7 linked regions of the Cricetulus griseus genome follow. The protein of the gene in region 1 purifies or fractionates together with the protein of each later gene. This does not show direct contact. Links are inferred from orthologs where the notes say so. Each region holds a gene or a part of one and is shown in the gene's direction. Other genes may lie near its edges. The genes, in order: Sf3a3, Snrpa, Phf5a, Snrpd2, Rbm17, Snrpd1 and Snrpb2.

Evidence for each region.
Region 2: the proteins of Sf3a3 (region 1) and Snrpa fractionate together in Homo sapiens (co-fractionation; 4 studies listed by BioGRID and IntAct, with this or other methods). This does not show direct contact. The link is inferred for Cricetulus griseus from reciprocal best matches to the Homo sapiens genes SF3A3 and SNRPA.
Region 3: the proteins of Sf3a3 (region 1) and Phf5a purify together in Homo sapiens (affinity purification with mass spectrometry; 3 studies listed by BioGRID and IntAct, with this or other methods). This does not show direct contact. The link is inferred for Cricetulus griseus from reciprocal best matches to the Homo sapiens genes SF3A3 and PHF5A.
Region 4: the proteins of Sf3a3 (region 1) and Snrpd2 fractionate together in Homo sapiens (co-fractionation; 3 studies listed by BioGRID and IntAct, with this or other methods). This does not show direct contact. The link is inferred for Cricetulus griseus from reciprocal best matches to the Homo sapiens genes SF3A3 and SNRPD2.
Region 5: the proteins of Sf3a3 (region 1) and Rbm17 purify together in Homo sapiens (affinity purification with mass spectrometry; 4 studies listed by BioGRID and IntAct, counting the BioPlex papers as one, with this or other methods). This does not show direct contact. The link is inferred for Cricetulus griseus from reciprocal best matches to the Homo sapiens genes SF3A3 and RBM17.
Region 6: the proteins of Sf3a3 (region 1) and Snrpd1 fractionate together in Homo sapiens (co-fractionation; 3 studies listed by BioGRID and IntAct, with this or other methods). This does not show direct contact. The link is inferred for Cricetulus griseus from reciprocal best matches to the Homo sapiens genes SF3A3 and SNRPD1.
Region 7: the proteins of Sf3a3 (region 1) and Snrpb2 purify together in Homo sapiens (affinity purification with mass spectrometry; 6 studies listed by BioGRID and IntAct, with this or other methods). This does not show direct contact. The link is inferred for Cricetulus griseus from reciprocal best matches to the Homo sapiens genes SF3A3 and SNRPB2.

The regions. Positions count from the first base shown.
Region 1 is NC_048595.1:28,350,622-28,354,644, reverse strand, and holds the start of Sf3a3 (splicing factor 3A subunit 3), read left to right. Parts: upstream 1-1,223; 5' UTR 1,224-1,310; coding exon 1,311-1,406; intron 1,407-1,652; coding exon 1,653-1,700; intron 1,701-2,027; coding exon 2,028-2,080; intron 2,081-2,188; coding exon 2,189-2,294; intron 2,295-3,119; coding exon 3,120-3,192; intron 3,193-4,023. UniProt on the Homo sapiens protein: Component of the 17S U2 SnRNP complex of the spliceosome, a large ribonucleoprotein complex that removes introns from transcribed pre-mRNAs.
Region 2 is NC_048602.1:8,724,525-8,728,792, forward strand, and holds the start of Snrpa (U1 small nuclear ribonucleoprotein A), read left to right. Parts: upstream 1-1,468; 5' UTR 1,469-1,609; intron 1,610-2,071; 5' UTR 2,072-2,093; coding exon 2,094-2,166; intron 2,167-3,938; coding exon 3,939-4,111; intron 4,112-4,268. Other genes in the region: CUNH19orf54 (UPF0692 protein C19orf54 homolog), read right to left, coding at 222-514. UniProt on the Homo sapiens protein: Component of the spliceosomal U1 snRNP, which is essential for recognition of the pre-mRNA 5' splice-site and the subsequent assembly of the spliceosome. U1 snRNP is the first snRNP to interact with pre-mRNA.
Region 3 is NC_048595.1:379,006,418-379,010,619, reverse strand, and holds the start of Phf5a (PHD finger-like domain-containing protein 5A), read left to right. Parts: upstream 1-1,402; 5' UTR 1,403-1,492; coding exon 1,493-1,544; intron 1,545-2,118; coding exon 2,119-2,142; intron 2,143-2,668; coding exon 2,669-2,835; intron 2,836-4,202. Other genes in the region: Aco2 (aconitate hydratase, mitochondrial), read right to left, coding at 723-758.
Region 4 is NC_048602.1:28,213,612-28,217,658, reverse strand, and holds the start of Snrpd2 (small nuclear ribonucleoprotein Sm D2), read left to right. Parts: upstream 1-1,247; 5' UTR 1,248-1,401; coding exon 1,402-1,403; intron 1,404-3,510; coding exon 3,511-3,690; intron 3,691-4,047. Other genes in the region: Qpctl (glutaminyl-peptide cyclotransferase-like protein), read right to left, coding at 1-98, 469-678. UniProt on the Homo sapiens protein: Plays a role in pre-mRNA splicing as a core component of the spliceosomal U1, U2, U4 and U5 small nuclear ribonucleoproteins (snRNPs), the building blocks of the spliceosome.
Region 5 is NC_048596.1:228,368,788-228,372,287, reverse strand, and holds part of Rbm17 (splicing factor 45), read left to right. Parts: intron 1-1,240; coding exon 1,241-1,357; intron 1,358-2,866; coding exon 2,867-3,033; intron 3,034-3,500. UniProt on the Homo sapiens protein: Splice factor that binds to the single-stranded 3'AG at the exon/intron border and promotes its utilization in the second catalytic step. Involved in the regulation of alternative splicing and the utilization of cryptic splice sites.
Region 6 is NC_048595.1:225,869,094-225,873,257, reverse strand, and holds the start of Snrpd1 (small nuclear ribonucleoprotein Sm D1), read left to right. Parts: upstream 1-1,364; 5' UTR 1,365-1,507; coding exon 1,508-1,521; intron 1,522-4,164. UniProt on the Homo sapiens protein: Plays a role in pre-mRNA splicing as a core component of the spliceosomal U1, U2, U4 and U5 small nuclear ribonucleoproteins (snRNPs), the building blocks of the spliceosome.
Region 7 is NC_048599.1:35,869,397-35,872,896, reverse strand, and holds part of Snrpb2 (U2 small nuclear ribonucleoprotein B''), read left to right. Parts: intron 1-1,509; coding exon 1,510-1,560; intron 1,561-2,911; coding exon 2,912-3,000; intron 3,001-3,419; coding exon 3,420-3,500. UniProt on the Homo sapiens protein: Involved in pre-mRNA splicing as component of the spliceosome. Associated with sn-RNP U2, where it contributes to the binding of stem loop IV of U2 snRNA.

The DNA.
Region 1 (4,023 bases):
AATATTGCCACCCTCAAAAGGATTCATTCCTTCTGCTCTTTTTAAGTCACTTCTTATCCCAACCAACCCTTCTCTCATCTTCCCTTTGTCTCCATGGATTTGCTGATCCAAACATTTCATGTGAACACTGTTTCTGTTGTTTTTTTTGTTTTGTTTTGTTCCTGGTTTTTCAAGACAGGGTTTCTCTGTGTAGCTCTGGCTGTCCTGGAACTTGCTCTGTAGTCCAGACTGGTCTCCAACTCAGAGATCCACTTGCCTCTGCCTCCCTAGTGGCAGAATTAAGGGCTTTTACCACCACCACCTGGTGTTTGTTTATTGTTTTGAGATGCTCTCTTACTACAAAGGGCAGGCTGAGCTTGAACTTGCTCCCTTCCTGCCTCAGTCTCCCAAATATTAGAATTACAGGTGTGAGCCACTCTACTTGGCTCCAACTCTGTTCTCAGTGCATGCTGGACAAGCTCTTTATACTGATTCAGATCTCAAGTCCTAATCTGTGTGTTTGTTTCCTGAGTCCCAGTCTCTCCATGTAGCCCTGGCTGTTCTGTAACTCACTATGTAGACCAGGCTGGCTTAGAACTCACAGAGATCTGTCTGCCTCTGCCTCTGGAGCGCTGTTAATCTTTTTTGCTTCTTCCTCTTCCTCCTCCTTTAAAGAAAGGCAGCCTAGATCTCATTTTCTAAGCCGTACAGCCAGCACATGGTAGGCAGAGGCAGAAGAATTAAGGATACGGAGAATCAGAGGTAACCCTGTACTGAATAGCAAGCATTTCATTGCTTGAATATACCACATTTTACTTAAAGAGCCCTCTGCTGATAAAGGTTATTTCCACATAGGAGTTAAGAACAAAACCACCTCCTCACTTTACTGACAGATACTAAAGTCCAGACAAGGAGAAAACACCAGCGGTCACACCCTGAAACTAGAGATTCCAGTTCCTCTTTCCCTTCTTGTATCCTTCAACTTCTCAATCCCGGTCCACATCAGTGAGTCTTGCCGGCCCAGCTGGCCACAGAGAGCCCCAGGCAGCAGTTGCCTCTCACCCTCCGCCTACAGCATTTTTGCAGGCATTCAGTCGCTGAGCATCGCTCCTCCACACCTCCAGCCAGCGGGGGGCAGTGGTACCGACAGCAAGGACTTGCTCTCCGTGTGGTGTTCATTTTTTGAGGTCCCCCAAGGCACTTCCGGAACTCACGGAACTTTGGTGCAGCCGGATGCAGCGCGTTGAGAGAGAGACGGAGGCGCACAAGGCGGCAGGCGCTGCTTCCGGCCGTGTTGGTCGTCTGAATTGAAGCGCCGCGGCGAAGGGAAAATGGAAACAATTTTGGAGCAGCAACGGCGCTATCATGAGGAGAAAGAACGGCTCATGGATGTCATGGCCAAAGAGATGCTCACTAAGAAGTCCACGGTGAGTGGACCGTGGTCGGGAACGCATCCGGAGCCCCTGAGCGCTTTCTTCGGCCTTAGACCCTCCCCGCGCCCCATCTTCGCCTTCCTCCTGGGCTGCCTCTGCGCTCTGGCCTCGGTAACATCCTCCGAGGCCCCAGCAGTCCCTCTGCTTCAGCTCCTGAGACCTAAACCAATAAACTCGTCCTTCGGGTGGCCTTTCCAACCCCCGAACTCAAACTAACAGCATCTGTTTGCCTTTCTCCAGCTCCGGGACCAGATCAATTCTGATCACCGCACGCGGGCCATGCAAGATGTGAGTGCCCCGCTGTCCGCTTCCTTTTAGGTTGGGCTGGGCGGGGAAAGTGCTGGCAGGGAAGGTGCGGAGGCTCAGCGTGAGGACTGCTTGTAGGTGCTGAGAATACCCCGTCTCAGGTTCTTAGACGTAAGTCCTGTCTCTGCCTCCACATGCTGGCATTAACGGTGTGTGCCACCACTCCCCACTCAGGCTGTCTAGAGGAACTTTCAAGAGCTCGTATCTCATGAGGTTTCCTTGGGCTTGGCCAAGAAAGCCTTCGTTGTTTATTTAGCCCTGTCGTTGTACAAATTGCTTCATTCTGATGGATTTGTGTTTGCCTTTCAGAGATACATGGAGGTCAGTGGGAACTTGAGGGATTTGTATGATGATAAAGATGGGTAAGTGACAGTCACATACATCCCCTCAGCAGGTAGAGCTTCTGAGGCGGCATGGTGAGAGGATTGGCTTTGTGCTTTATACTCTTCGGGTTTGTCATTATTTTGCAGACTTCGAAAAGAGGAACTCAATGCTATTTCAGGACCCAATGAGTTTGCTGAATTCTATAACAGACTCAAGCAGATAAAGGAATTTCATCGGAAACACCCAAATGAGGTATGGTCTCCTGAAGTATTTCCCCAAACCTACCCTAAAATAAGAAAAGGTGCAAGGAAAATGGGGGTATGCCATTCAGATGTCACTCCAAGAAAGGGCTTGCCACTTAACTGCAGTGAGCATAGTTAGCTGACATCGTTCCTGACATCTCTCAGCCAGTAAAGGAACACAGTGAAGGCACGAGGGCCTACTTTTTTCTTTCTGATGAGAAATGATTAATTTTTGCTCCAGAGTTCTTTATTGGCTTCATTCAGATTTTGTCTGCATCATAGTCTAGACTCCTTATCCAAACTTACTTTCTCCTTTTTATCTTTCATAAGAATTCTCCCCCACCCAATACACTGTGCTCCTAATTCTGCCTTGAAATCTTCTACCAACACAACATCACTCTGCTCACTCCAGAGTTAATGAACACCTTCAGGATTCATGTCCAGCACCAACTCCTTTATCATATATCTTTTCTGCTAGGCGGTGGTGGTGCAAGCCTTTAATCTCAGGGATCAGGAGGCAGAGGCAGGTGGATCTCTGTGAGTTCGAGGCCAGCCTGGTTTGCAGAGTGAGTTCCAGGACAGGCTCCAAAGCTACACAGAGAAAACCTGTCTCCAAAAAAAAAAAAAAAAAAAACTTTCCTAGACTATCTCTTCCAATGCAATCCTTCCTTAAGAGCCCAGATTTTGTGGTAATGACTGCCTTCCAGTTATACTAAGCAAAGCAAGAGGAGAACAGTAGTAAGCTCCTGAACACCACAGGGCAAATCAGGTATCAGAAGTCCAGTTCTATGCATGCATGAGACACTGATCCACCTGCGCTTTCTCCTTCCCCCAGATCTGTGTGCCAATGTCAGTGGAATTTGAGGAGCTCCTGAAGGCTCGAGAAAATCCAAGTGAAGAGGCACAAAGTAAGTATGATTTAATGTTTCTTTCTGAGAAATTTGAAGCCATCCTGGGCTATATAGCTAGAACCTATCTTCTCTCTCTATCTTTTTTTTTTTTTAAGCCTTTATTTTTATTTTGTCTGTATGGGTGTTTTGCCTGCATGATACCTATAGACAGTGTGTGTGCTATGCCTGAGGAGGCCAGGAGAGGAAGTCGTATCCTCTAGGACTGGATTTTGAGTACCATTTGGGGGCTGGGAATCAGACCTGGGTCCAGGTCTAATATATCTGATATCATTTAAATCAAAAAGTTATGGACAGGTGTCTTTGTTTTGTTTTTGTTTTTCTTGTTGTTTTTCTTCCTTAACTATTGAGCCATCTGTCCAGCCCTTTCTTTCTTTGTTTCTTTGTTTTTCAAGACAGGGTTTCTCCTTGTAGCCCTGGCTGTTCTGGAACTTACTCTGTAGACCAGGCTGGCCTAGAACTCAGACATCTTCCTGCCTCTGCCCTCCCCAATGCTGAGACTAAAGGAGTACCCACCACCGACTGACCGACTGGCATTTATGTTTGTCTGGTTTTGTGATTTTTTTTTTTTTTTTTTGGTGGTGGTGGGTAGTGGTGGGTTTTTTTTTGTGTGTGGGGGGGTGTTTGTTGTTGAGACAGGGTCTCTCTACATAGCTATAGCTGTTCTGGAACTCACTATGTAGATCAGGCTGCTCTTGCTCCCATGTGCAGCTGGCCTTGAACTCATGATCCACCTGCCTCAGCCTTCTGAGTGCTAATTTTAAAGCAATGTACGGGGTAATGTGGAGATTAGATCTGTGTACAAAAATTAGCTCAGTTGGTAGAATATTG
Region 2 (4,268 bases), on another chromosome or scaffold:
CTGGAAGGGCAGAGGCACTATCACTGGCTTAGAACCAAGAATGAGCAGGAGCTGCTCTCTCTATTGCTAGAGGCCAAGCAGGGAAGAGCTAGGTAGGAGGCTTAAGGCACCTGGCTGCTTGAGATCAAGGAAATGGGAACCCTGGGAGATGGGGTAGGCGGGGTGATTTGGAGACAGGTGGTTGGATGAGTCCTGGGGTGCTGGGGGTTTGCAAACCCTACCGGTCCTTGTGCAGCATCAGGAGCCTCTTTACGTCTTCTCTGCCTTTGGGGACTGGGCCAGCCTTCTCCAAGGCCTCCTTCAGGAGCCGGCTCTTCTCCAGGCCGTAGACATGAGGGGAAACAACCTCCACAGCCAAGGGTGGGGGTGGGGGTGGAGGCGGCGGCGGCGGCGGGACAGAAGGGGATGGCGAAGCTAAGTCCAGGGTACTTGGGGGTAAAGGAGGTGGAATGCTGGCGTCTTGGGGTTCGGGGATTACTGGGGGGACTGTGGGCTTTAAGGGGAAAGACGTCATGTCGGGTCTTCAGGAAGAGCTGATGTGAGGGTGAGAAGGGGGATCCTCTCAAATCTCTCAAGGATGGAGACTTCAGTTTTTAGAGCAACTGGATGTGGTATTCACATGTGGCCCGCACATAGAAACCTGTATTAAAAATTACAAAGAGTTTAAAAAAAAAATTAGAGTTGAATTGCAGAATACGGTGCCTGACCAGTTGGTCTGGGAGAACCTGGGTGGGTATTTCAAACCGTGGGAACAGAAACTGGGCTGAATCAAATGACGAAGAAGAAGGCTCCCCCAAGGTGCGGGCTGTGCCATGGGGATGGAGCGACATTGGGAGGGACTAGAGCTAGCTAGTTTTCTTCATTTCCGTAATCAGGGGGCTCAGATCGGGGGGGGGGGGAGTAAGGCGTGGGGTAACCGGCCTCATCTCACATCTCTGTAATCAGGGGGCTGAGATCGGGGGTAAGGCGTGGGGTAACCCGCCTCATCTCACATCTCAGGGCGCTCAGATCGGGGGTAAGGCGTGGGGTAACCCGCCTCATCTCACATCTCCGGCTCGAGTCTGCAACCTTAGGGTCGATCTTAGGAGCTTAGAGGTCATGAGGTTAAAAGGGCACGCGGCTGGGAAAGCAGCCTAGCGGTGGGCAGCGGTCAGAGTTGACAGCAGGCACAGCGGTCAAGGGTCGCCTAAGGAGCGGGAACTTAGGAACTTGTACACGCTCCCCGCGGAGGGAAACGAGCGGCCTTGACCCGGCCAGGCTCTCCCGACGCGGCCCGGCGGCCACGTGACCCCCCCCCCCCCCGGTACTGGCGGAAGGGGAAGAGGCGTGGCTTCGGAGAGGGCAGCCTGCGCTGGCGCGCTAGCGAGGTCCCGATTGGCCCAGAGCTCGTCGCCTCCTTTGATTGGTCTGCTCACCTGGGGAGGGGGCGGGGACTAGTGCTGAGGCGGGAAGCCGCGTGTCCCTTTCGCGGGCGGGCGCTGAGGCCGGGGAAGAGGCTCTCACTCGGGGCGGTCGCCGCCTGCCGAGTTCGCGCGCCGTCAGCGTCTCGCGGCCGGGGACGGGAAGCTGTGTGTCCGAGCGGAGTGGCGTGGCAGGCGCGGCGGTCCAGGTGGTGAATTCCCGCGGTGGAGACGCCCGCGGGCGCTGGGGAGGCGGGCGGAGCACTTGGCGTCGGGCCTTCGGCCGCGTCGCTTCCGGAGGCCCCTCTTGGAGAGACGAAGGTGTCCCAAATCGGTCCCTGCTGTCTTAACTGGCTCCCACATCCGGGTTCCTTTTTTTTTTTTTTTTTTCCTCCTTGGACGCCGTTCGAGCGCGTGGACCAATGGGGATCGCCGCTGGGTACAGGCTCGCAGAGCATTCTGGGATTCGTAGTCCTCCCCCCCCCCAGCACGCGGGCTGGAGAAGCGGAGTCCTACGCGGGCTTTGTTGCCAAGCTGTGCCATTCTTCCCCAATTCCGGTCTCACCCAACTTCCTCCTGGAAGGATCCCTGAGCAGAGCCCGTCAGCCCCCTGAACAGAGAGTTTTGGAAAGCGTTAGAGAGCTGAAGTCGCCTCTTTTTCTCCCTTTAAGCCGTTTCTGAGCATCTGACACCATGGCAGTTCCTGAGACCCGTCCCAACCACACTATTTATATCAACAACCTCAATGAGAAGATCAAGAAGGATGGTAAGTCCTCCGGGATAGCCCGGAACTCTAGGTGATCTCGCATGAGCTGACCCCTTCCACCTCTAGCGCCCACTTTCCTTTCTCAGCCTTGCCATTGAGTCCTTTAAGAGTTAACTTTGGCCTTTTGTACCTACTGAGCCCTTGGTTCTCAATACACCCTTAACCACTTTACACTCTGCTCTTTAACCTGCACACTGTCGATAATCTTCAAGGTTTTAGCTCACCGGCCCTTCCTTTCTGGGAAGCCCTTTGGGATCTTTCTCTCCCTCAAGCCCAGCGCAGTCTGCTATCATGAGACTGTCTCTTGGCCACTGGCCTCTGGGCGTTGGTCTTGGTGATGAGTTACGATGCAAAGAACGTATAGAAGTGACGGGTAATGAATGCTATGTAACAATGTTCTGTAGTCTTGGAGATATTTAATTCTCAACAAGCCTCTCAAGATTAAGAAATTGGAATTTGGGTGGTAGTACTTGCCCGTGATCAAATACCAAGAAAAAAATGGTTGGGACACAAGTGTGCGGTTCTGTTAAGCAAATTCTTGAACTGCTTGAATGGCAGATGGCTGTAATTCTGTTACTTAGGGAAAGGGACTCCCAGAGTAACTCCCAGATGGCTGCATGATCACAATGAGTGAAAAAGATACCAAAGACAGTTTCTTTGGGTGTGGTGGTGTAGGCCTGTAATCCCAGTACTCAGGAGACTGAGACAGGAGAATCTTGACTTCAGACCAGCCCAGGGTACATAGCAAGACCCTGACTCCAAAAGGTCTGAGGAATACAAGTAGTCTTGCCTAGCATGGGTAAGGCTCTGGGTTCTGAACCTCAGCAACTAAGAAACCTACTTGGCCTGGTGAGATGGCTCAGTGGTTAAGAGTACTGCCTGCTCTTCCAGAAGACCTGAGTTTGATTCCTAGCACTCAAGGGAGGTTTATAATGTGTAACTCCAGTTCCAGGGCATATGACATCCTCTTCTAGCATCTGCAGGCAAAATAACCCACGCACATAAAATAAAAATATTTTGGGCTGGCTCACGCCTTTAATCCCACCACTTGGGAGGCAGAGGCAGGCAGATCTCTGAGTTTGAGGTTGGCCTGGTCTACAGAGTTAGTTCCGGATGGGGGGGGGCGTGGAGGGTGTCAGGGGAGGAGGGGGGGGGGGAGAAAGGGACCTGGGATTGACATGTAATTTTCTTCCTAATTAAAATAAAAAAAAAAACCAAAAACCTTGTCTCAAAACAACTATATATTTAAAGGTTGTACAATTTTTATTTGTTTATTGTGTATACAACATTCTGCTTCTGTGTATGTCTGCACACCAGAAGAGGGCACCAGATCTCATAACGGATGGTTGTGAGCCACCATGTGGTTGCTGGGAATTGAACTCAGGACCTCTGGAAGAGCGGTCGGTGCTCTTAACCTCTGAGCCATCTCTCCAGTCCCAAGGTTGTACAATTTTAAACAAAACCCCACACCAAATAATTCCGTTCTTGCCTGGAAGTAAGGTCCTGGAGTAGAATGTTTACTTTTCTACAAAGGCTGAATTCTAGCACACATACAAATAGTAAACAGAAGCAAGTATTTTTATGTATTTATTGTGTGTGTGTGTGTGTGTGTGTATGAATGTGGGTTGTAGTGCTGTAGCATTCTGGGTAATTTGTCACTTGGCAGTGGCCCCTTGTTTGAACTGTTCATCATCCAAGGATAGTTAGTGCAGGTCCCAGGACACAGTGCCCAGGCCTTTTGTTACAGTGTGTCTTGTTTTCCCTGAATGCAGAGCTCAAGAAGTCCCTGTATGCCATCTTCTCCCAGTTTGGCCAGATCCTGGATATCCTGGTGTCTCGGAGCCTGAAGATGAGGGGCCAGGCCTTTGTCATCTTCAAGGAGGTCAGCAGCGCCACGAATGCCCTGCGTTCCATGCAGGGTTTCCCCTTCTACGACAAGCCCATGGTGAGCATCTTGACTATGGAGGCTGTAGGAAGCTGGGTGGGTGTGGCCTGTAGTGTTCCGTGAGGATGCTACTTTTCTTGCTTGGTCCTTTACTTTCAGTGTTCCTTAATCTGGGGCTGTGGGGACACAAAATGATCAAGACACTGAGCATGATGGC
Region 3 (4,202 bases), about 350 Mb from region 1:
CAAGCTATAGCACTATCGTGACACCGTGAAAGTCAGAACTTTCATCTACTTTTTTGCAGTTTTACTATCTATTGAGTTGGAAAAAAATCATCTGACATCTATGTTGCCAGAAATATGTAAATCAGGTTATATTAGTGAACAGTCTTGACATCTGGTGCAGAGAGGAACCACTGTTATCATGACTATGGACTATACTGGTGCTCAGAATACTCTACCCTTCTTGCATCTATGACCCCAGGTGTCCTCAAAAGGTAGTATTGGGTATAGCTTCTGCAGACTCCAGGCCCGAGAACCACACATACAAACGGCTGGCAAATCTCTGCTGTTAATGGGAAGTGAGGGCTTCAAGCACCTGGCTTAGAGGAACCCACAACCACCGCGCCCCCCAGTAACCTTGTCATCACCTTGAGAACAGAAAACCACACTGGGGGGAGCGGGCAATTCGGCCCTCAGGAAATGAGGGGTGCCCTCATCCTTTATCACACTGCGGATGCTTAGACTCAAGCTTCCCGCTGGGCGGGGACGGGGACTGGGCCTGGGAACTGACTGTGCCAGGGACACCTTGACCTAGGACAAGGCAGGAGCGGACAAGGACGCTGGGCCTGCAACCGGGACAGGTTCGCAAAAGTCAGCCCCAGGTTGAGCCCGCCTCGCGTGGCCTCGCCTACCGCCGCAGGCAGAGCTCCCCGCCCCCGTGAACCCACACATCGGAGCTCGCTCACCTGCAGCCGGGTCACCAGGAGGCTGTAAGGCGCCATTTTGTGCACTGACAAAGATGAGGTCGCGTGAAAGTGACGTGCCACAGGGCGCTTTTGAAGTGCTTGGGAAGGGGCGTGGCCTCCAAAGCGGCGCGTCACGGTGAGGGTGGGGCCTTCCTCCTCGGAGCCGGAGTCCAGAGAGCGCAGTGGGCGGGGCTTCCATGACGGGCACAGCGCGAGAAAGAAACTGCCAGCTTGTCAGTCTTTGCACTTGGGGACGGAGACGGCAGCGGAGCCAGGAGTTCAAGGTCATCCTTCACGCCTTGAGACTCAAAAGGGAACCCCCAGACCACATATTTTGCGGAAGCATGCGTGAGGCCCTGGCCTCAGCCCCGAGCACAAAAAGTACCATGTGTACAAAAGTTTTTTGCGAGACAGGTCTGGCTGGCCTCGAACTCAGAGATCCGCCTCCCGAGTGCTGGGACTAAAGGCGTGTGCTACCACCAACCAGCCATATGTAGGAATTTTATCCAAGACAAAAACACTTAGTTTATTCGTTCAAATCGGGAGGGAACAAAAACTTTATTATAAAGTCTTTGATGCACCTGCTAGGGGTCCAGCAAGTTCACGCTGAGAAAACTCGCGAGAACTAGCGAGATTTGGTGCAACGAAGGGCAAAAGCTGATGGGCACCTTGACGGCCAATCACGATGGAGAAGTGGGTGTAGGAACGGCGTAGGTTAAAGGTCGAGCGGAAGTTCTCTAAGCTTCCGGCCGCCGGCTTGGGGACGAGTGATGGCTAAACACCATCCAGATTTGATTTTCTGCCGCAAGCAGGCTGGTGTTGGTGAGTTGGCTCGCCGCTCCCTTCCGTTGGAGTGGGATGGTGTTAGAAACGGGAGAGTGGGGGGTTCGCTTCCTCTTTAGGGCCTGGCCTTGGGGGCTCCACGTTTCGCGCCTTGCGGTCCCTGGGTATTCTGGGGGTGCGCCCAGGTTTGTGACTTGTGATAAGAAGGCAGGATCGCGCGTCTGGGAGCCTGAAACTGGGGGCAGCGTCTGCGCTAGGTCTGGAGAAGCCGTCCCAGGTTGCTTTGAGGATTCCGGACAGGGCGCTGGTGCAAAGCAAAACTTAGGGGCTTAGGCCGGGCGTGGTAGTTCACGACTGTAATCCCAGCGCCTGGGAGGCTGAAGGCAGAAGATTGCTGGGGGTTCGAGGCCGACCTGAACTACATAAGAAGTTCCAGGCTATAAAACGGGAATCTGTTGGGAGGAGGGGCGTGGAGAGGGGAAAAAAAAGGATAATAAGACAGCTATTCTGCTCACTGTAGTCATTGCTACCTGCCCCATCCTCTATCCCAGCTTTGAGGAACAACTTCCTTGCTAAATCACCATTTTGATTTTAACTGTGTTTTTTCTTGCAGCTATCGGAAGACTGTGTGAAAAATGTGAGTGGAACATACCCTCTCACACATTGCCTTCTTTCTTTGTTTTTTGACGAGCCAACAAGCCATTTATTCCAGAGGAGCCCTAAAGAAGCATTGAGTGGATATGCCAGACTGCAAAGAACACTGAATCTCTGACTACAACCAAAGGCTCCCCACCAGACTCCCACTTTAGCTTGCATACTTTAATATTTCATACTTAGGTTGTGGGGGAAAAATACTTTTGGACAGTAAGAACTATCAGAGTAGTGTGAACCTTCCCAGGCCAATGTTTGTGCAAGAAGGCATGCAATTTGTTGATGATAACTACATAGACTTAAAAGCTCCTAGCTAACACGTCAAAACTCTTCCCATTTATATTTTGAAGGAAACTGAGGTAGATGGTAGATATAAGATAGGGTGGATGCTGTCAAGATAGAGAAAAGGCCTGAAGTCACAGTCAAAGGGAGACTGGTTATTTCACCCATAGAATAAAGATCTTTAGGAAGTAATCACTAGTGAATATAACTCCATTCCTCTTCCTTTGCAGGTGATGGCAAATGTGTGATTTGTGACTCCTATGTGCGACCCTGCACCCTGGTTCGCATATGTGATGAGTGTAACTATGGATCTTACCAGGGCCGGTGTGTGATCTGTGGAGGCCCCGGAGTCTCCGATGCCTACTATTGTAAAGAATGCACCATTCAGGAGAAGGATGTGAGTGTAGACTTGAGCATTCCCTCCTGGCCTTTCTTCCTTTTTCTTTGGACCATTTTGCCATCCATGTCCATCTCTTCTGGTCTATGGAGACTGCAATGTTCAGCTAGTCATGTAGGTAGAGGTTATTATCATCCTCCTTTTATACTCTGTCCCAGGCTATCTGACTAAATCTGGTGTCCACATTACATCATGTTATGCTTCTCTAAGACCTTCTTGGTGTGTGCTCATGATGAAGAGAGCACCCAGCCTCCTCAGCACTCCACATGTGGATGCTACCTACCACCAGTACCCGAAGCCAGATAGGGCTTTAAGGAGGGAGGGGGGTTGTTCTACGTGGTGCGGAAGGTGATCTATGATAGCTGCATTTTCAGTTTTGATTGACTTTATCATCAAATCTCAAATCGGGTCTTACCACATCCAGCAGATATTGATTGGGGAAGCCACATTTAGGCATTAGCTAGAGTTCCCAACTGAGAGCTTTTTCTCCATGGATGAGCTCCAGGCTTTTCTTACTGCCTGCATGCAGTTTATGCCACAGGACATACAAATGATTCCTGTTGGGTATATCCTCACTGTTCTCAGTGCTGCAGAGTTTGGTTGTGTTTGGTTTGGTTGAATTTCTTTGTTACATCTATTTGTGTGGGTGCATGTGGTATTAAGAGGACAGCTTGCCTGGAGTTGGTCCCACACACACACACACACACTAGTGAGTATTTTGGCCCACTAATACTTTTATGTGCTTACTGTTTTTCCCTGTCCTTCTTAGAGAACCAGATTGGTGCTTGGCCCAGAATGGAGTTTTAGAGCAGCTGAAAAGTATTGTTTACTCTGTTGAATCCACTATTGTTTGGGAAAAGGGGAATGTTGTTGATTAAGTATGAAATCATAATTTCAGTTGGTGGTTTGAACATTCTCCTGCCCTAAATGCTCTTTCCAATTCTTTAGACAACCAGAACTCGATTGTATTCTGTCTTCCACAGCTGTGGATTATGTCCTCCATCTTTCCTTTTTCTCGGGTCTTGGTAATAGTGCCTAATCTGTAATACAAGGATGGTGCTCTCTTTTTGGTACTGTGCCTATAAAGTGTTCCTGGGAGACACTCCCCACCCTGGGCATTTGTTATTTAGGAACTGGGAAGTACTGGGTGTAATGGAAAGAGGAGGGACACACAGTTCTCAAGCTAAAGGGTCCCTGAAGAGACAACACTTTCTTGAGCTTTCAGAAATGTCTAGAGTCTGTTTCTGACTTAAGCTTGGAACCAGAGGATGCTTGCTAAACAGTAATTGCCATCTCACTTGTCTGCATGCGCCCTGTGATCTGATACCTTTGGATCCCTGCCCCTCATTCTGCTCCCTGAGAATTAT
Region 4 (4,047 bases), on another chromosome or scaffold:
AGCAGGGGACGCAGGAAAGTGCCCCAGAGACGCTGCGGATCCAGCTGCCCTACCACCGTCCGTAGCTTGGCTTCCGGAAGGCTTCCAATCAGCGGGACCTTGGTGGGGAAGAGAAGAATGAAGACAAAACCCCCCATCCCCACCCTCTCCTGGGCGCCGCTGCCCCCTGGGAGCCCTGACTCTTCTTGGTGGTGCAGCAAAGACTTGGAGTTCACATGCATACACCCTAGAGCGGGAGGGCGTCTTCAAGGCAGATCTGGCCCCTGCTACTATTAGAGCCCTGACGGGAACCTTGCAAACAGATGTCTTGGGGCGCGGAGCTCAGATCTGCCCGCGTTGCTAGGCTGACCGCCTGCATCTCCAGGACGGCGAGGCAGGGGCGTGCGCTTGCTTGAGTGATGGAGAAAGAGATGTCACCCGCTCGGCACGGGAAACGGAGGAGGGACCGGGGCCCCAGGCAGGCCTCACCCGCAGATCCCGGCTGCGTGACAGCTCCTGAACCTCGGGGTGCCAGCCGTTCCAGACCATGAAGAGCGCCAAGCCCAGGGCGAGCGCCAAGAGCAGCAGGGGCAGGAGCTGCACTCGCGGCAGCAGGCGGCGCTTGGAAAGCGAGGGCGGCTGCATCGCGCCGCGATCCCCGAGCCGCTGCCGGGGCCGCCCGCGGCTCCCGGGACTCATGGCAGCAGCGGGGCCCCGAAGCCGGTCGTCCCAGACTGAGGTTTGAGTCCAGGCCAGGCTCCGCCCCTCCCCCCTATCGCTTACGCAAGCCAATAGGGAAGCAGAGCGGCGGCGGCATCGTCGCGCAGACGGCCGCGATTGGCTCCTTCTTCTCCAGAAGGCGGTGCGCAGACCCGAGGGCCCGCCCCCCACGCAAGAGGCGCAGCCAATGAGTGGCGGCTGACCGTGCGGAAGCCGCGCCCGCCGCCCTCAGGTGTCCATCAAGGAGAAACGGGCGGCGCCCATCCCTGAAGCAAGGAGGCGATTGGCTCGCTCGAGGCCACGCCCCCCCAGGAGGAGGCGGGCGCCGCGCGCTTGGAAACGGAGCTGTGTGTCGTGTCCCCGCCTCCTCCCCGCCCCCGTTCTTCTTCCACCCAGACGGGGAGTTAATTCGAGCCAGGCCCGGCGGCTCCCCCTTTTTGTTTAGTCGCGAGCGGGGGGGTCCCCCTATTGTGATCCTCACTGACATGGAATCCTCCCTCCAGGCATTTCCTACGGCAGAGAGCCGCCGCCGGGTCGCTATGGCAACGTGACACGCCCACGCCGCTGGGGCGGGTTGCGCAGGCGCCGACGGAAGTGATCCCAGAGGAGGGAGGCGGAAGTCCCGCCTTCCGCTCGCTCTACTCCGGAGGCTACACGGCAACGCGGCGGAGGCGGGAGTGAGCTGCGATCGAAACCTCCACCATGTGAGGCCGGGCTGGGCTCCCGCGGGGACGCGAAGGTGGAGGGAGGGACGCGGGCGGCTTAGCAGGTGGACTGTCGGCTTGGGGTGCTCGTAGCGGGGGCAGAGGTTCCTCCTGAGGTGTTAGGGGACGGGCGTGGGGCCTGGAAGGACGGGTCTGGAGTTCCGGAGCCGGACAGCTTCTTCTTTCTTTTCTTTCTTTCTTTCTTTCTTTTTCTTTTTTTTTAAAGTTTATTTATTTATTCATCATGTAGACAGTGCGAGCCAGAAGAGGGCACCAGGTCCCATTATAGATGGTTGTGAGCCACCCTGTGGGTGCTGGGAATTGAACTCAGGACCCCTGGAAAAGCAGTCAGTGCTCTAACCTCTGAGCCATCTCTCCAGCCCCCCTCATTTTTATTTTTTAAAGATTTATTTATTTACTTACCATGTATACAGTGCGTGCCAGAAGAAGGCACCAGATCTGGCACCAGATCTCATTACGGATGGTTGTGAGCCACCATGTGGTTGCTGGCATTTGAACTCAGGACCTCTGGAAGAGCAGTCAGTGCTCTTAACCCCTAAGCCACCTCTCCAGCCCCCCTCATTTTTATTTTTAAAAGATTTACTTATTTATTTACTTACCATGTATACAGTGTGTGCCAGAAGAAAGCACCAGATCCCATTACAGATGGTTGTAAATCACCATGTGGTTATATTTATTTATTAACCATGTATACACTGCGTGCCAGAAGAGAGCACCAGGTCTCATTATAGATGGTTGTGAGCCACCATGTGGTTGCTGGGAATTGAACTCAGGACCTCTGGAAGAGCAGCCAGTGCTCTTAACCCCTGAGCCATCTCTCCAGCCCCGACAGCATAACGGGCGTGGGACCCTGCTCTGTACTGAGTCTTGTGAAAAGAGCTGTAAGAGGAAAGCTGAGCCTGGTGGCACATGCCCAAGAGAGGCTGAGTGAGGCAGGAGGATGGTGAATTCGCGCCCAGCCTTGGGCTGCACATGGAGACCGTTTCCAAAAGTAATAGTAATTTTAAATGGGAGCCGTAAATGGATAAAGGTCTCGGCAGGGGAAGGGAGTTCTATTAAAAAATAGTGAAAGGCTCTCCAAAAAAAACAAACAAGCAAAAATCATAATGAGGGACTTAACCAGGATAAGGTAGAAAACAGACAGGGGGGCTTTTTCAATCTGCCTGGAGACTCTCAGAGTAGCAAGCTACTGCCATGGTTTGATGTGTTTATTCACCAAGCAGGTGTTACACAGACTGGTTGTTAAGTTAGACACACGGTGTATAAAAGGTCCGTGCCACCGAGAGAAAGTTTTTCTCACTGGGGCTGGTAAAAGGAATGGGGTAGGAAGACCAGAGAACGTGTTAGATGATGGAGAGTGCGGATGAAGAAATTTGAGTAGCTACCACAAAAAAAAAAAAAAAAAAAAAAAGACTGAAAATGCAACACTGGGCTGGAGTTATAGCTCAGTGGGCAGAGTACATGGCTACCTTGGGTTCTGGGTATAGTGGCAGCATGCCTGTAATCCCAGAGGTCTGGAGGCAGAGATGGATAGTCTGAGTCTCAGGTCAGCCAGGGTTACACAGTAAGACATTGTTGTGGGGATGGCGGGCACCAGGAGAAAGGTAACGGAAGATTAGGCCATGGATAGAAATAGCCAGGTTCTGGATATGTCGTAGAGGCAGATGACAAGATGTGAGGGTAGATTTCCTTTAAGAGAGTGCCGGGCTTGATGTTGAACTCCTGTAATCCCAGAACTTGGGAGGTGGAGTCAGGAGAATTGAGAATTGAAGGTCGTCCTTAGTTATATAGCAAGTTCAAGGCTAACCTGGGCTATAGGAGATCCTGTCACCAAAACAGAAATCAATTAAACAGTAGAGTTCTAGCTTAGAGAACCCGCTGAATAGAGTTGCCATCAGTGAAGACGTGGGGAATGCGTGGGTGGGAGAGGTTTTGGTGGTTAGACAGCTGGAACGGGCTAAATAGACAATGTCTCTCCCACCTCTGAAAAGGACATTTGGGGACCAGGTTGAGGAGACACTGGACAGTGCCTTTGATCACTCACACTTCCAAGCTCACCCATCTCACCCGTGGTTTTTCTATTCAGGAGTCTCCTCAATAAACCCAAGAGTGAGATGACCCCAGAAGAGCTGCAGAAGCGGGAAGAGGAGGAATTCAACACTGGTCCCCTCTCGGTGCTCACACAGTCGGTCAAGAACAACACACAAGTGCTCATTAACTGTCGAAACAACAAAAAGCTCCTGGGACGGGTGAAGGCCTTTGATAGGTGAGCACTGAGTCTGAGGGGCCTGAAGGAAAGGTTATTCCAGAAGCATAATGATAGTAAGTTGGTGACAAACTCCTGTAATCTCAGCACTCAGAGGGATCACCATGATCATGTTAGAGGCCAGCCTCCAAAATAAAAAATCAGAAAGTGTGGGGTGCTCTTTTTGTTGTTTTTTTGTTTTATTTTGTTTTCCAAGACAGGGTTTCTCTGGCTTTGGAGGCTGTCCTGGAACTAGGTCTTGTAGACCAGGCTGGTCTCGAACTCACAGAGATCCACCTGCCTCTGCCTCCTGAGGGCTAAGATTAAAGGTGTGAGCCACCAACGCCCGGCTAAAATTTGTCTTATCTGTCTATCCCA
Region 5 (3,500 bases), on another chromosome or scaffold:
AAAGATGAAGCTATGGTTTCATTTGTATTTCATTTTTGGAAATACCTGTTAAATTTAAAATAAGCAAATAAATGATTATCATAACCCCTGTTATGCAAACTTTGGGGTTTATGTTGTGATTTTGCATTTGTATGACATGTTGTTTGCTTAAAGCACTGTTAAAGCTTAGACTCCCTAATAAGAATGAAAGTTTGTACCACAACTTTTCGTGATCACCATCATTCCATTTGACCAACCATGGCATCTTAGCAACCTGAGAACTTGATGTAGTTCACCAGCTCACTGTGAGACATTCTTGCCTACAAGCTTTACCCTGAGTCTAACCAGCTTCTAGAAATGCCAGACACAGAGTTAGCTGTGTTATTGTAAGTTAGCTAGAGGATCTAGAATAAGCATTCATAAGAACGATATCCCAGGGGAAAAACAAAGATGGTAATGGTGATAGGTAAGAGGGGCTGCTAAAGATTGAGACACGGATCAAAAGTACATTTTAAACTTTGTTTAAAAAAAACAAAACAAAGACTAGCTGTTTAACATGCACTTTGAGGATGGTGAGATGGCTCAGTGAGTCCAGCCTGATGACCAGAGTTTAAGTAGAACCCTATGGTACAAGGACAGACTTGTCCCTCCAGTCCCTCTGACCTCCATATAGTCACTGTGGTATTTGCATGTAAACACACATGCATACACACCCAAGTAAGTATATAAGTAATTTTAATTGGTTGAGTAAGGTTATACTAAAAGAAGTAGAGTAGAAGCTTGCCTTGGAAGGCAGAGAGGTGGATCCCTGCAAGTTTAAGGCTATTCAGAAGGTGGTCACATTTACTGTAAACTTTATAGAAAAGTGGAGGAAATCTGCTTTTAAAATGACCAAAAAGAATGGAGATATAACTCACTTGGTAGCATGTTTGCCCAGTTTTCAGTAAGTCCTGTGTTAAATCCCCAGCACTGTATAAACTGGGTCTGGTGATATATACCAGCACTCAGCAATGTGGAGGGAGGTGGATCAGGAGTCCAAGTTCATCACCAGCTATGTGGGGCACTGGAGGCCAGCCTGGGTTACTTAGGACCCTTCCTCAGAAAGCACTTAAGGACACTATACTAAAGACTGTTACTGTTTAAAATGATGGTTTTATCACAGGCAGAGGCTGGTTATAGAGAGTAGAAAAAGTGTCTGTGTTGCAAGTAGCATGAATTTTAATTTGGAACATTGGTATGTTTTTCTTGTTTCTGATGTCAGAGTCAGCGGACAAAACAAAGTACAGTCCTTGCCCCAGTCATCGACCTAAAGCGAGGAGGCTCCTCAGATGACCGGCAGATTGTAGACACACCACCTCATGTAGCAGCTGGGCTGAAGGTAAGCCTGCACATGCACATATCTGTGGCTTTAATGCATTTCCTGTTTGCTTTACACATATTTTCCTCTATTTTTTAAGATTGACTTTTTTTTTTTATCTGTGTGTGTGGTATGTGTGTGTCAGTGTCTGTGTATCTCTGTGTGTGTGTGTGTGTGTGTGTGTACCCTTGGAGGCCAGAAGGGGACATTAGATCTCTTGGGGCTGGAGTTAGGCCCAGTAAACACTCTGGTGTGGGTGCTGAGAACCAAATTCTGGTCCTCTGATAGAGAATAAGCACTCCTAACCACTGAGCCATCTCCAGCCCCACACAAGAGTCTCCCCAATAGGCCGTTGAAAGAGAGTTTCATTTCCAGCTCAGGTTTTACTTTGCTACCATCAAAACCTTTATTCCTTAAAATAGTTGATTTTGAAAACAACAGGTGTGAAAGATGGGCAAAAAAGAAAAGCAGGTATCTTCTTAATCATACTCTCCAGGCTTTAAAAGTTACATAATTTTAAGCCGGGTGTTGGTGACACATGCCTTTAATTCCAGCACCTTTAATCCCAGCACTCGGGAGGCAGAGGCGGGCAGATCTCTGTGAGTTCGAGGCCAGCCTGGTCTCCAGAGCAAGTGCCGGGATAGGCTCCAAAGCTACACAGAGAAACCCTGTCTCGAAAAAAAAAAAAAAAAAAAAAAAAAAAGTTACATAATTTTAGAATATCTTTCTTGGATGAGTTCTACCTTTTGTTCTCTAATTTCCTTTTCTTAATATATCAGTGAGTGTCCATCTTTGCCAAAAATACAGAACAATGTGGTTATTTAGAAATACTTGTATATGTATGAGGTTTTTGCCTGCACTACATGTGTACCTGTTGCCTGTGGGGGCACATTCCCTAGGACTGGAATTACAGACAGTTGTGAAAACCATGTGGGTGATGGGAATCAAACTTAGGTTCTCTGAAAGAGCAGGCAGTGCAGTCATAGCAATCAAGCCTGGTCTACAGAGCGAGTTTCAGGATAGCCAAGGCTACACAAAGAAAGCCTGTCTTGAAAAACAAAACAAAACAAAAACTTGAACATGGTGCTGCATGTCTTTAACAGGACAGGGCTCCAGAGAGGCAGGGGGATTGGGAGTTGTCCAGGCTCACCTTTGGCTCTGTGCCTAGTTTGTGGCTCTGTGAGACACTGTCTGGAAAATGATAATCCACTTTTACATGTATTTTCCTGCAGGTGTCATTCGAATGATGACTGTGGTAGTTTAAAACTCACTTAAACAATGATTAAGTTCATGAATTGTTTCAGTTTTAAGTTCTACAGTGCTTTTCTAGGAATAATTAAGCTTTTGCTTGATTGCCACAATATGCTGCCACCTGGTGAGATGTAGTTTGCTATGAATTGTTTACTCATCTAGGAAATATAAGATCCTTAGATGATCACGAAGGTCTCTTTCATCATCCTTTGACCTTGATTCTATGATAACCCTGCAGAATATGAAGATGGTACTCACTTGAATATTTTTCTTCCTCAGGACCCTGTTCCCAGTGGGTTTTCTGCAGGGGAAGTTCTGATCCCCTTAGCTGATGAATATGATCCTATGTTTCCTAATGATTATGAGAAAGTAGTGAAGCGCCAGAGAGAGGAGCGACAGAGGCAGCGGGAGCTGGAAAGACAGAAGGAAATAGAAGAAAGAGAAAAGTAAGTGTCGTCTTGATTTGGGAACAGATATCTTGTTAATGTACATTAGAATGTGAATGAATTTCTGTGTTGTCTCTAGGGGTGGGTTTATGGTTTCAATCTTCAGGAGTTTACTTGTTTGGTTTTTTTTTTTTTTAATGTATTTAGCCTACAAGTAAAGGTTACTTACTTCACACCTCCCTATTTTTTTTTAAGATTTTATTTATTTATTATGTATACAACATTCTGCTTCCATGTATATCTGCACACCAGAAGAAGGCACCAGATCTCATAACGGATGGTTGTGAGCCACCATATGGTTGCTGGGAATTGAACTCAGGACCTCTGGAAGAGCAGTCAGTGCTCTTAACATCTGAGCCATCTCTCCATCCCCGAGTTTACTTGTTTTTAAGAATTTGTAATTGTTCTGTCCCATTGTCCCCAAATAAACTTGAGAAAGTTTATTTATTTATGGGCTCTAAAAAACC
Region 6 (4,164 bases), about 200 Mb from region 1:
TGTAAGTCACCCATAAACTGCACACTGCAATTCTGGGCTTGCCTGCCTCCCTCTTTGGTTTCATAGGCCTTGGGACCAGTTCCCACACATCGGGACTGGACTATTTTGTGAAGGAGAAGAAGAAGAAGAGGAAGAAGAAGAAGAGGAGGAGGAGGAGGAAGAGGGGGGAGGGGGAGGAGGAGCACATCATATTAAAGCATAAGACTGGAGATACCGGATGTTGGAGAGTGCAATAAACAGATTTTTTTTTTTTTTGCTTTCAGACACTATGTTCTCCTGAGTTCAGTATAAGTAAATAAATAATTGTAAGTGTGGTGATATTTTGTTTGTGATCTAACAAAGCTTGCCTGCAGATCAGAGTGCAGAGCTGGCCACACTAGTTAGCCACAGATGCCAGGCAGTGATGGCACACATCTTTAATCCCAGCACTCAGGAGGCAGAGGCAAGCATAGCTCTGTGAGATCTGGGATACCCCGGGATACATAAGATTGATCCAGTTTAAAAGAGAAAAAAGAGCCAGATGGTGGTGGCTCACACATTTAATCCCAATACTTTAATCCCAGCACTAGGGAGGTAGAGACAGGAGTGGTGTGGCTGGGCAGAGAGAAGCCGGAGGAGACAGGAGTCTGAGGAGGCAGTCAGTCTGAGGACAGGATGGCCCCTTTGGTCTGAACATTGGTAGAGGTAAGAACTCTAGTGGCTGGCTGTTCTGCTTCTCTGACCCTTCAGTTTTTACCCCCTGTCAGCCGAGTCTGAGGCTTTATTAAGAACAATTAGAATTCATGCTCCATGTAAGAATCAAATATAATAAACTAATATTATCCAATCTTCTTGGGATAGTGGAAATTATCTGCACTGTAATCAATGATACATATAGATTTTGAGTAGTTACGATGTGGTTATTGCAAATAAGGAGTTGAATTGTTTTATTTAACTTCATTTGAAATATCCACATAACTTTTTAAGTCGAAGAACTTACTATATAATGAAGGTCTTATTTAAAACTGTCCTGAGAATGGCTTTCCTGTTTTTAAAAAGGTTCTCAGTAGCTCTGGGGTTATTACAAGTCCCCAAAGGAAAACTATTATATACAAAAATCTGATTGGCTCAGCTTAGTTGTCAAACCAACTAGGAGAAACTTGTCGGGCCGGTTCTCTGCTTCCAACATGTGGGCCCCAAGGATTAAAGAAGTCTTGGAGGGGTTCTCTCAGATCTTCTCTTCCTTCCAACTGTGAAAGCGCCAGGCCATTATAAATAGTTTTAAGGTGAATCCTCCTGCAGATGTCTTCCACCAGCCACGCCGCGCTCAGACGGCGCAAAGCACTCCTCCCGTCGCTAGGGGCCGCTGTGGTTGTCCCGGTGGCCGGAAGGCAGCGCGGCTTCCGCGTTTCCACCGCGGATCCGCAGGCCTCCGTGCGCTCTTCCGGCCATTCATACGCCTAGTCGGTGAGTCTTTGGAGCTCGAATTCCGTGTCCAGTAGGACCAGAGGGAGGCTGCGCCGCTAGGATGAAGCTCGTGAGGTGAGGAGGCTCTCCGGGCGGGCCGAAGGCGGCGGGGACAGGGTTTGGGCGGGCTCAGGAAGCCGGGCCTCTGCGCCCTCAGGGAGGCGGGAAAGCCGCGTGCGCGCGGCCTGCTAACGGCCCCCGCGTCCGGGCCCGCCGCGCCCTTCTCGTTGCTGCCGGCGAGGAGCCGGCGCGCCCCGGCCCTGCGCGTCTTCCAAGAATGGGGGAGCCGAGCGGTTTCTGCTCGCCTCGTTTCCTGCGGCTTGAACGGAGCCGAGGCCGCTTTCCCTGGCCAGTCGGGCTGCTTGCACGGACGAGAACTCCAAAGCAGCATGGTTTTATCTGCAAACAACGACGCCGATCTGCTAGACGTTTTAGATAAAGTTCTCCTTTATTTTGGATCGGTTGTATGTAACTGGTTAATGTTGGCTTTCGACTCACGACAGTGTCCCAGGATGGGGCAGAAGTTAAGTTAATTTCGCCTGATTGCAGATTGTGTCGGTTAGTGGAGCTTTGTTTGCTGGTATGAATACTTCCAAACCAAATAGGCATTAGGCAGAGCCCGAAACAGGGTTTAATGCCTAAGCCAGTTAGAAATATTTAGTTTCTTGTTGAGTCAAGGACTGCTTATAGTCACCTGTTAAAAGTAGTGGTACGAGATTTTTCTTTGTGGTTTTTCGAGACAAGGTTTCTCTGTGTAACAGCCCTGGCTGTCCTGCACCTCGCCATGCTGGCCTCGAACTCAGAGGCCTGCCTGAAAAGGATTCAGTCATTATGCTGGCCTGCCCCTGCACTCACACAGTAGTACCCTGGTCAGCCCAGATGCAAAGCATCCCTTTAAAAGAAAGGTCTCTGTCCACTTATGCTCTCTTACCCGCTTTTTTTTTTCCCTCTCTCTCTTTCCTGCTGTTCCCCTGGGGCAGACAGGACTTTTCTTGTCTTTCCTGTCCTCTCTCTGTCTCTGTGTCTCTAACCCCCCTTTTTTTCTAATAATCTTCTCACTTAAGTCCTACTGCCTGGCATGATGTCCTTTCGACTGGGTCATCCTTGCCTGCCATGGAATCCACAAAGGTCCCCCACGAACATTTATCATAACACTGCCTCTGTCTCCGGAGTGTTGGGATTAAAGGCATGACCCATCACCGTCGGGCTACAAGATTTCTTTCTTTTCTGTTTAATGCTGAAGGCAGAACAGGTAACATCTGGTCTGTTTGAAATGACAAACACTCTGTTCAGGGGGAGTTGGAAGAGAAAGCATATAAGGTTAAAAAAAAAATTCCACCTGTTCTGGGGATAGCGCCTAGAGAGCTTCCAATAATCGCTCTACCTTTGACTATAGCTCCAGTTCTTTTGTATTTGGACTGTAACATTAGGTAGAAAGTCTCACAATTTAAAGTATACTCTTGCTGTTTCCCTGCTGCCTGATGTGAACTATCATGTGTTTGCAGTAACTTAGGTTTTTCCCATTTAAAGATTCTGTTACGACAGCTTTGCTTTTGGGTGGTGGTACCTGGGGTGTTACCTCGACTTCCAGCTAGCGTCCTAGGCAAGTGCTCACTCTGTTACTGATATGAACCCAGCCAGGGCTACACAGAGAAACTTCTCAAACAACAACAGCAATGGTAATAATAAGTAAGAGAATTCACAAAATGAAGGATTCACTGAAAAATTGAGACAGGATGTCACCAGGTTGTCTAGAAGTCACTCCATATCCCAGGCTGACTTCAGATTTGGGATCATCCTACTGCAGCCTACTGAATAACTGAGATTACAGATCGGTGCCTACATGTCTTAAGGGAATTTTTTTTAGCAGACTGTTATCTCCTCACCCACTCCCTTGTTTCTGAAAGAATTTCTGCTTCCTGAGTGCTGGATTAAAGATCTTCACCCCCATACTTGGCAATATAATTTTTTTTAAAGATTTTTATTTATTTATTATGTATACAGTCTTCTGCCCGAATGCCAGCAGAGGCACCAGATCTCATTCAAGGTGGTTGTGAGCCACCATGTGGTTGCTGGGAATTGAACTCAGAACCTCTGGAAGAACAGTCAGTGCTCTTAACTGCTGAGCCATCTCTCCAGCCCCCGGCAACATAATTTTTTAAGGTGGGTTCCTTTAAAAGTTGCTGAAACGCTGGACCTGTCTGGTGGTTTTTTATTATTATTATTATTATTATTATTATTATTATTATTATTATTATTATTATTATTATTATGTGCACGGTGTACTCCCAACCGCAGGTCAGAAGAAGGCACCAGATCCCATTATAGATGATTGTGAGCCACCATGTGGTTGCTGGAAATTGAACTCAGAACCTCTGGAAAAGCAACCAGTGCTCTTAACCTCTGAGCCACCTCTCCATCCCCTGAGTGTTTGTTGTAGTCCAGTGTCACCTATAGAAAGGGCCTGCTGCTTTCCTTCATAGTAGAATAGTGGTGAGAATGGAACAGATAATATTACTTGTGCAGTTTGCTGTAGTAGTTTACAAAGGATATTGTAGAAAGATAGACTAGAAAATCTGAATATGAAGTGTTGTTAGATGCTATTGTAGGATTATCTTTCCATGGCCATTTGGCTAAAATAAAGCATGGGTGATGCTGTAGAATTATTTCACTGCATGTAATTGTGGTATTGTGAATTACAGACTAGGAAGTCAGAAC
Region 7 (3,500 bases), on another chromosome or scaffold:
AACTGGCTCTGTAGCCCAGACTGACCTCAAACTCACAGAGATTTCTGCCTCTCCAGTGCTGGGATTAAATGCTTTCACCACCACCACCACCCTGCTAAAGGTGAAGTTTTATATATGTGTATATATACATACATACATAAATACATACATACATATGCATATATGTATAAATTTTATTTAAATTAGAACAATCTTATTTTACATATCAGTCCAAGTTTGCTCTGCCTCCCATCTTCCCATTCCCCCCATTGACCCCCCCATCCCATCCCCCATCCACTCCTCAGGGAGGGTGAAGCCTTTCATGAGGGACCATCAAAAATCTGTCAAGTCATTTGGGGTAGGGCCTAGGCCCTCCCCTGTGCGTCTAGGCTAAGAGACTTTCCCCCCATGGAGAATGGGCTCCCAAAGTCCATTTGTGCACTAGGGATACATCCTGGTTCCACTGTCAGGGGCCCCATAGACTGCCTAGTCCTCCTACCTGACACCCACATTCAGGGGGCCTGGTTTGGTCCTATATTGGTTCCCTAGCTGTCAAACTGAGGTTCATGAATTCCCACTAGCTAAGGTCAACTGTTCCTGTGGGTTTTCCCAGCATGGTCTTGACTGAGCCGAACTCCTGGAATCCAGTTGTAGAGATGGAGGAGTGATGAATGAAGTTTTAAGAAGCTGGGATAACAAAATTCTAAAATTCTAGGTTTATATTTAAGGAACAATTTATAATACCAGCCTTTACACTTAGAGATTTGCAATAAACAGTACTAATCTGATTTACATATTGTTTTTGACATCTTTATCTAAAACCCTACTTATTGGTATTTTTCTTAAATTCTTCCTATAAATCATATGCAGTCTCTTCATCATGAGTATCTTACTCAGAGCCTCTGAACAATTCAAGAGGCAAAAATTGAAATCCAGTAGAAGTGAAATTATTCAAAAAAGTAGTTACCTCTGAGTTAATTATTTAAATCATTTTGATTCTGTGATTTTGATTGTATAATGCTTATGGTTTTTTTTTTTTTTTTTTTTTAAGTAAGACTCTCTCTGTCTTTATCTCTATTTCTCTATCTCAGCTCTTGTAACCTAGAGGAGTCTGTTCACCCTTGTGACCCTCCTGCCTCAGCCACACAGCACACTTGGTCTCTCCATCATTTAAAGTTTAATGTTAAAGCCAGGTGTGGTGGTACACACCTTTAGTCCCAGCACTGGGGAGGCAGAGGCAGGTAGCCTGGTCTAAATAGTGAATTCCAGGATACCTGAACTACATAGTAAAATCCTGTCTCAAAATAAATAAATAAAAATTCAAATGTTAAGGTTTATGATGTGGTCTATAGAGTTGAGAGACATACATTTCAATTTACAAGCTAAGTAAATAATTTAAGACATCTTAAGGTAAAATGGAATAAGGTATCTTTTACAGTGAATTTAATGTTGATTTATGTTATAAATTGCAGTTGCTTTTTACCATGACTGAAATTCAGTCATTTCTTAATGCCAATTTCTTTTTTGTAGGGAACACCAAATTCGGCTAATACTCAAGGAAACGCAGCACCAAATCCTCAGGTAATGTTTTTCTTCATGGGGTGCTTACCTTAAGATCATAAAAATTATGGCAGTATTAGTGTTCATGTCTGCAAAAGCAAGTAAATCCATTCACAAGACATAATTGCCTGTCACTTTAAGAAACTTACTCTAAGATGAAGAAAACAAAACCAGGCCTGATTTCTGTTTTCCATGAATTGGGGACAAGATCAAAAAGGCAGGGGGTGTAAGGCCTGAGAAAGGGCTTTTGGTTTGGGTCGGGCACTTGTCAGCACTTCACAGACATGTGGTCAGAGGACCTTGGGAGGGGCTGTTTCCACCCCAGGTGTCTGACACTGCCCTGTCTTTCTCAGATTCATAGTGGGCAATGGTGTTTAAGTTTTCTGCTTTCAGTAGAGTCTAAATTATACAGTCTGACGTGTCCACAACTTCTCAGTATTACAGTTGTGTGCGTTTGATTTTTTCCTCTCCTTTGGTGTTGGTGACTGACTCCTGGGCCTAGCCTATGCTAGGCAAATGCTATACCACTGAGCTGTCCAATACCCCTTAGCCCCTCTGAGACAGTCTTGATTCTGCTCTCAAACCTCTCAATCCTCTTGTCTCAGCCTCCTGAGTGCTGGGATTACAGATAGTTGTCACCATACTTGATCTTTTATGATCTTTCTTTCTATTCCTTGAACTCTTTCAGAACTTGTAGTCAATTTACAAATACCAGCACTTAATTCTCTATCTTGAGCTGTTCAATAATTATTTTTTACACTTGATCTTTTCTGTCCATGTAATTAGCAAGTAGACAGAGTTTCTTCTTATATGTAAGTCTTTTATACACTCCCTGTAGACTCAGGATGGGGTGCCAAGCATGTGACTTAATGTCTAATATTCTGCTCAGTTATGTTTGTTTTATATTAGTAGACAAAGTACATGCCATTTACTGTGTACATGCATGCACAGGAACACACAGAGTAGATGCCAGCAGGGTGTGATTGTCAATAGTAATGTTTCAGTTTAGAATGATGAGCTGAGGAGGTCTATGTTGCTGCCTTTTCCAGTTTTTAGACTTTGAATTCTGTATTCCAGGTCACAGAATTCCCCAGTTAGCACTGGTGCTTCACCTATAAATACTGTTTTCACAGAATCATAACCTTCCATACTTGGGGTATCCTAACTTGAATGTTGGCTTCCCTATTGTTAGGTTTTTAATCTGTATCTCTGGCGTCATTGTTTTTAGCTTTTGTTTTAGTGTGTTAAGATTTCACAGGCGCATATAGGCTGCAATGTAGTTCTCTGAAGAAGTTTTCATTTTTTCTCACAGCTAAATACTTCACAGCACAGTTTATATTCACAAGCTAATTTTGCCTTTTGTTTCTAATAGGTCCCTGATTATCCTCCAAACTACATCCTATTCCTTAATAATTTACCAGAAGAGACGAATGAGATGATGTTATCCATGCTGTTCAATCAGTAAGTTCTTTACTAAACAGATCTGTTTGTAGTAGCCTTCTAACAGGACAAATAGTGCTTCTATGGACTGAGTTCATTTGTCACCCCACAGCAGTAGTTCTCTGTAGGGTCATTGATTTAGTCTGGTACTAATCATGGATTGGAGCCTAAGTTAAGCTCTAAGCTTAACGAATAAAAGGATAGATTTTCTCTGTTGGAGTTATTCTAATAAATGGGTAAAACAGGAAACCTTTGACATACTGACAGTTGTGGAATTAGTGTGGACTCTTGCATTTCCTTGATGGTACAATTTTATGTCAGGTGCCTCCATCCTACTTGGGATTCTTGATTGAATGTAATTAGTTTTCCTAGACCAATAGCAAGTTGTTCAACAAATTTATTCTACATTTGCCTGTGTTTATTGCTTTTGTTTTTTCTAGGTTCCCTGGTTTCAAGGAAGTTCGCTTGGTACCTGGGAGGCATGACATTGCATTTGTAGAATTTGAAAATGATGGGCAGGC